Drosophila melanogaster: one gene and its partner. The protein of the gene in region 2 interacts with the protein of the main gene of each other region in a pairwise test. Each region holds a gene or a part of one and is shown on either strand. Other genes may lie near its edges. The genes, in order: SmD2 and CG14071.

Region 1 (3,351 bases), on a different chromosome or scaffold from region 2:
CAAAAGCACACTAAAAAGATCCAAATATATAGAGGATATCTTTGTCTTAATAAATTGGATCCGAATAGTATGTACTCAACTACGTGCTTGCAGACCAGGTTAAAATATTTCAAACATTTAACACCCGAGCTTAATAGAAATCTAGATAAATATCTCGTCACAACTTTCTGATCAAAGGTCAGAAGGTAGCTAACTTAAAGTAAAGTAGCTGATAGATCGCAACAATGTAAAAATCAAGCAAATAACTGTGAAATCGTTCCTATTCAAGGTCACGTACAGCAACAACCTGGTGGCCAAGGATGGAGTGGAGCTAACGCCCACCCAGGTTAAGGATCAGCCAGTCGTGGAGTGGGACGCGCAGCCCGGGGAGTTCTACACGCTCATTATGACGGATCCCGATGCCCCCAGCCGAGCGGAGCCCAAGTTCCGCGAGTTCAAGCACTGGATTCTGGCCAACATCGCCGGCAACGACTTGGCAAGTGGTGAGCCCATCGCCGAGTACATTGGCTCCGGCCCGCCCCAGGGCACGGGTCTGCATCGCTACGTCTTCCTGCTGTACAAGCAGTCCGGCAAACTTGAGTTCGACGAGGAGCGCGTGAGCAAGAGATCCCGCAAGGATCGCCCCAAATTCAGTGCCGCCAAGTTTGCCATCAATCACGAGTTGGGCAATCCCATTGCTGGAACTTTCTACCAAGCCCAGTACGACGACTATGTTCCAAAACTGCACAAGCAACTTTCGGAGAATTGATTCCGTTTTAATCTTAAACAGATACTTTAGGAAAAATCGATTAAAAGATGTTAATCAAAATATAAGAAATTGCGATTACGGATTGTACTTTCGTTATACAAATTTATAATGGGATATGTTACTGGGATGGGATATTTTCCGTCGTAAATTATAGCTCACACTTTTAATTAATGGCACATTTTGGTCCACAGAACTTATTTGGTTGATTTACGGATTTATTAACTGAAGTTGATGGATATTGGTTGCTGTACGCTATCGCTATGGTAGACTACTTGCCGGCCGCCGTGGCCAGGGGATTCCTTAGGACCAGGATGACAGAATCGCCTCGCAGGAACATCTTCGATATGAACCGATCCTTGTTCACGGGCTTCACCTTCTTCTTGCCCTTACCGGTCCGCGGCAGCTCCGTCCACATCTCCTTCACGTTTTCCAGTACCATGTTGCAGTGCCGATCGAAGGCCTTTACCCTGCCCAGCAGCTTCTTGTTGTTGCGGCAGTTGATGAGCACCTGGGTGTTGTTCTTCACGGACTGCGTGAGCACGGACAGCGGGCCGGTGTTAAACTCCTCCTCCTCCTGCCGCGCCAGCTCCTCCGGGGTCAGCTCCGATTTCGGTTTCACAAGAGCCCTGCAGAGAACACAGTACATTAGTATTTCACCCACAACTCGAGCGTGGTGCTAACAATGCAAAATGCCGGCGCACATGCCGCTGCCAGTTACGCCATTTCCGATGGTTTGTCCCATCTGCCCCGGGATACTTACATAGCGGATTATAACTATGGCTTGTTAAATGATGTTGATAGTCTTCTTGTTTCGCTTCTCAGTTGGTTTTCTGCGTTTATTGTTGGCAAAAGTATTCAGCGCGGCTTCGTTTTTTTTGCAGTGTTACCAGCTCTGAGGACGTTTGCACTCGACCAGCCCTGAATTTCAAAGCTAACTATCGGCGTTTGGCATTCGCGTAAATTAAATAAACTATTATTTTGAAAAATCAAGCTCAATTTGAGTTTTTTATTAAAAAACTTATTAAAATATTCAATGTAAGAAGTGTAAACATATTTAAGACCATAGTTAAAACATTTTTGTGAAAAGTTGGTAATAGTGTTATCTAGTGTGCCAGCCTTGGTCACACTGCCTGGCACGAGTTCCGAATTGGGAGGAATTTATTTTGAAAATAAAAGTAACGAATGGAACCTGTGAAAGAGACGATGACCACTGTCAAGGCGGAGAAGCCGGTAACCACCACTTGCTCCTACTGGGTGTTACGCAAAAAGCGCCGCTGCAAGATGACTGCAAACAAGGGCAGTGAGTTTTGTGGAGCCCATGCCTCATCGGCAGCCACCACTGCAACTTGCGATGAAAAAGCTAGAGAAGATTCCTTCCAGGAACGTATTCCCTGCCCGCTTGATCACAAACATACCGTGTTTAAAAGAAAACTAGCCAAACACTTGACCATTTGCAATGCCAGGGATCAGGAAAGTTCACTGCCCTACATTGTAAAAGGAGTGAATTCTGGAGACAATCTTAAGGAAACAGACGAAGATTTGAACAAATTCAATCAAATAAAACTGCACGAACTGGCGGATGAAGAGTTCTACAGTCTGATCGACAAAGTTAAGAATCTGTATGACAAGCACATCAATTCCAGCATACAGGAACTGCAGCTGGAGCACGAATCCCTAAAGGAGGAACTTAGTCGCAAGGACTACGGCCAGGAAACGCTACGCCAGCTCACCCAGACCACTAGCTTGCTGGGCATCCTGGAACACGATCACCAGTTGATGGATCACACGAGCTATATAGAATTCGGAGCCGGAAAGGGACAATTGGCCTACTTTTTGGCCACCGTATTGCAGGAACAGAAGTTGAGTCACTCACAGGTGGTCCTCATCGATCGAATGTCCCTGCGGCACAAGAAGGACAACAAGTTGGCCAACAGGGAGGTGGTGCAACGTATCCGTGCTGATATCGCTGATCTTAAGCTTTCTGCTCTGCCGGAGCTAAAGAAAACCCAACGAACGGTGGCTTTTTCGAAGCACCTCTGTGGAGCAGCTACAGACTTGACCCTGAGATGTATACTCGGTGATGGAAATGCCAGCTCGGACTACGTTCTCATCGCCCTGTGTTGTCATCATCGCTGCTCCTGGCGCTCCTACGTGGGACGCAAGTTTCTTCAGGAAGCTGGAATTGGACCACGGGAGTTCGTTATCCTAACCAAAATGGTCAGTTGGGCAGTTTGTGGCACGGGCTTAAGCCGAGAGCGGCGTAAGGCCATGGAATCGGCTGACTTTCAGCTCACCGAGACGAACACGCAGCGTCTAACTCGCCAGGAGCGCGAACAAATTGGCCAACAGTGCAAGCGGGTTCTGGATTATGGACGACTGGAGCATCTACGATCCCACGGATATCAAGCAGAACTTAAGTTCTATGTTCCCAGGGATGTGACTTTGGAAAACGTGGTTCTGCTGGCCAGACCGACCAGCCCTAAGCTGGACCAAAATAAATGCTGTTGACTTAAGTAAAATGACTTTTCTCCTTCCTTAATTCATATCCTGCTCCTGGATTTAAATTTTTCATTATTTACTAAAAACTAGTGACGATCGCACCA
Region 2 (4,058 bases):
TTCAAAAAATTATTATCCAAGTTTTTAAGTTGTGGCACTTGTAATTGATGAGCTCAACATTTCCAGATTGGCTGGAAAGCGATTAGCGCAACGAGGGAGTTTTAAAATGTGCTTTTAACAAACAGGAATCAAAATTAAGTAAAAATATGAAATACATCCGACATTTTTCGAACCTTCACAAATGCTTTGTTAGTGCGAATTTTCCAATTGACTGGGATGAAAGGCAATCAGAGTCACAGCGGTACAGACCCAAAGTGTCTTATTTTCGGTTCACTGGCCAGAATGGTCGAGATGATTGACTTCATGCAAATGTTCTTGTTAAGACCCATGTCTGGTTGGGAAATTTGCATTTGGCTTGTTTGACCAGTCTGGCTGGCACGGGAATAAAATTGAAATTGTTACCTCGTCGTCGAACGCTTCAATTTAATTAATTAGAGTACAGGACAGGGCCCATAAGTCTGGCTTTCTTCAAATATACCTCGACTTCCTTCTCAATTCTCCGACTATTAATGTTTAACCAAAGCAAAGTAACAACAAATATGCAATTGCATCCTTATACATGTAAGCGCAGACCATTTTGTGGTCCCCTTGGCAATTAAAGTTACAGTTTGGTATAGAATTGTTTAAGTTTAACTTTATCCAAGTAGAATTAATTTCTTATGTTTCTAAACATTTTGGGGTTTTATGTAAAGTCAATATATAACATATGCATTTTTGTTTTGAGCTGTAGTTTACTTAAATATATTCAGTAAATGGCGACCATTTTCAATGCACAGGAAATTCCATAAATTTTCAAGCTTCAGCTTTATCGATCCGGCGAGTCTATATATTTGCAGCGCGTTGACACCGCCAGACGCTCGGCATTATTGAATTTATGCACTTAACGATAGAGTCAGCAGAGTGTAGCTGCTGCCGCAGCGGATGCTGTTTCCGCGACGGCAGTGGCAACATTGCGTATACGCAATTAAATTTGCAGTGTCTTCTGGCTCGCATTGGATTGTCTGTGCGCGAGTGCATAAAGAATTACCGGAAATGAGATTGTTGCGGCTTTAATTTCACCCAAAATGATTTAAGATGTCCAGCGGAATGTGTGAATGGATTTCGCGTTGCATCGAACGTGGACTTCATTATCCAAAAGTAACACATATTTTACTGATTATCGACGGCACACGGGTACATATGGCAAAGCTGGAGAATACAAATACATGTTTACATAGCCCTTGCAATTTCGAATCATTTAACATACTTGCAAACTTTACTTGCACATTAAATCGAACTGAAATTTTCAAGATACACATATGTAGAAGTACAACGTATGTAATGGTTAAATACATATCTTCACATTGAGGCGGCTGCTGCCGATTCCTCATTAGCCACTGTGATGGCCTTTTCAATGACTCCCTTCAGCTTCCTGATGTCCGCATCCAGGTAAATAAGGCGCTCGTACGTGGCAGCCAGCTTGTTGATAATGCTACCGAGGTGATTCCTCAGAATTTCCTGCAGCTCGTCCTCGTTGGGAGCAACGAATGGCTGGCCACTCAAATTGCACTGGAACTCGTCCTCGGCCAGCGCCTCTGCCAAATTATCCTCGGTATCGTCCTGCTGCTTGCGCAATCGGCTCAATTCGTGATCCAAATCAGATCGCTCGATGGTCATGGCCTCAAAGTCGGCCATCTTTTGATGCAGTTCCGGATGGAGTACCACGCCCGGATTGATTAAACGACCAAAGCCCTTTGCCGATCTGGACATTGCTGCACAGTGTAGTTACGCCGTTGAAAGGAGTTTGTGGTTTTCTACGTGGAGCAGTATTTGATTTAACTTAGCAATAAATTTGTTCCTTAAATCCGAACAGTTTCTAGCTACCTACTTATGATTGGTAAATATGTGTTGCTGGCGTCCACTGAATACTCGAGAAAAAACAAAAAGACTGTAGTTAAAAAAGGAAATAGATCATTACATTCAAAAATTGTTTAAGCCGAAATGCATTACGAGTAGATGATAGCAGAAGCATTGTAAACTATCATTCAAATAGTTATTTTTCGTACTATCTCTTTTTAGTGGACAAGAATGTGTTGAAGTTTAAAATTTTCCACGAGTTAACGGCACAAAGATATAGTTTCTTTTTGTCCCTTCTGCATTTATATGCTAATCAAAATTTGGCAATCAAGGGAAGCTTTCTGAAAGAGAATCTTGCCATGCATTTAAATAACAATAACAGCGGTCCCTTTTGAGGTTCACGTGTATATTTGAAGTGGAGAATATTTGGGAATATATACAACTCAGGGCGCGTGTCCTAATTAATAAGACCACCTCGACGCCATCATTGCCATTTGAGCCCAGTGGATTTTTGCTCCTTTTTTTTTGTTGGTTACAAGAATTTCCCAGCGGCATTTCGCGAAATGCAAAAACAACAAGCACCGAAACACAATGGACAAAATGATGAAAAGAAACAAAGGAGGATAGAGATATCTCATTATGGACAAAAGCAGGCCAAACGAGTCCAAAAATAAAATGAAAAATTATGCAACCGAAACAAAAAACAAAAAAAAAAAAAACCCAGCTGTCCTGTTTATCCTCCTCGTCCTTGCAAATCGACATCCGCCCCTTGACCAGTCTGCGTATTTCACGAATTTGTTTACAGCTCTCGACGCGGAGATCCTGGCTTTGAGGTCCTGCGAAACACGCGTGCCGAAAATAATCAAAATATAATAAGCAGACTCTTCAAGGCGCTGCCAAATGAGGCATGTAATAATTTTTGCCCTGCCCAAATTCCCAGTCCCTTTCCACTGGCCGTAAGATTTATGGTGCGTAGTTTTGTGCTCTGATTGTGAGGTAGTATGAGGGGTATGTTGTTTCATTTATTTAGCAAACAAATATTACACATGTATTTATTCAAGACCAATGAATTATAATTACATCTACACTAATAATTAATATGCAAATTTGCATTCGAAACTGGTACCAATTATAATAATGAAAATACATATTAAATATATATTAATAAATATATCTTTGTTTTTTTGCTTAAAAGTATTGTTAACAATATCACAATGATTTAAAAAATGGCTACCATTTTTACTATCTGATATCTGATCATCTTCGACTTTTCCGTTTTAAACTCCTGCACGGTATATGATATTCGGTAGACTCGATTTTCGGACCAGCCCCGTCAAATTAAGCAATTTCCAACTCAGTTATGGAAGTTACATTTTTACGAGTAGTTCACAAACAATTCTATCCACTTGGATTTTTTCATTTATTCGTTTGCTCTTGGCTTTGCCAGCTTAATAGGCTTTGCACACTTTTAGGTTATCTTCAGTCAGTCAGTAAGCCGGCTTACTGAAGGATTTCATGGGGTTTTCTCCGAACATTTCTCTATAACTCGCCCCTTAAAATGCCAAACAATGTGATGAGCAACAGCCATTGGCATCTGCCTACAGTTATGCAAATCACTTGCGGGAAAATTTAGCTTGAGTAACTTCCACTTCTTGCTTGCGCCACAAGGTGGTCAGTTGAAAATTGCGAACGGAAGGATAGGCTTGGATATTCGTCCTTGGGAAATGAAGGAAATGGGGGGGGGGGGGGCTAGAATGCGTGCACCTAGTTTGCCCTAATTTCCGCTTTATTTGGCAAATATATACGTTGCCGGTCGAGTGCTTTTTAATAAGTTAGTTGCCCGACATTCACGCTGCTCTGTTTTCATCTCGTCGCTCTGTGTGCTCTCGCATAATTAAAAATGTACACACGTGCGCTCACAAGGAGACCGACCACGTGTTAGGGGGTCTGGTGGGTGGGAGGTTGGGTGGTTGGTATTCTTGTGGTTTACCTGCGGTAAAGGATGATAGTAAGTAGGGGGAAGGGTGGAGTCCGGACTCCGGACAGGTTATATTTACTTGCCGCCCAGCTGCCTCGCTGAAAGTTAAAATACAAAAAACCTGCGCATCATCATTGTTGCTCGGGGCGTATACTTAATACTCAGCAGCGGAAACCAGGAGATGAAGTCGTCGAGTAAGCTGAAGAGCTCACGCGGAAACTTTTTGTTAAGAAAATAAATGGGA

Evidence for each region.
Region 1: the proteins of CG14071 (region 2) and SmD2 interact in a two-hybrid assay, tested with the Drosophila melanogaster proteins (one large-scale study listed by BioGRID).

What each region holds. Positions count from the first base shown.
Region 1 is NT_033777.3:6,344,263-6,347,613, forward strand, and holds SmD2 (small ribonucleoprotein particle protein SmD2), read right to left. Parts: upstream 1,650-3,351; 5' UTR 1,511-1,649; coding exon 1,509-1,510; intron 1,375-1,508; coding exon 1,017-1,374; 3' UTR 749-1,016; downstream 1-748. Other genes in the region: CG17919 (uncharacterized protein), read left to right, coding at 269-748; CG18048 (uncharacterized protein), read left to right, coding at 1,931-3,256.
Region 2 is NT_033779.5:10,887,030-10,891,087, forward strand, and holds CG14071 (uncharacterized protein), read right to left. Parts: upstream 1,899-4,058; 5' UTR 1,750-1,898; coding exon 1,339-1,749; 3' UTR 1,247-1,338; exon of another isoform or gene 1,240-1,246; intron 1,189-1,239; 3' UTR 616-1,188; downstream 1-615.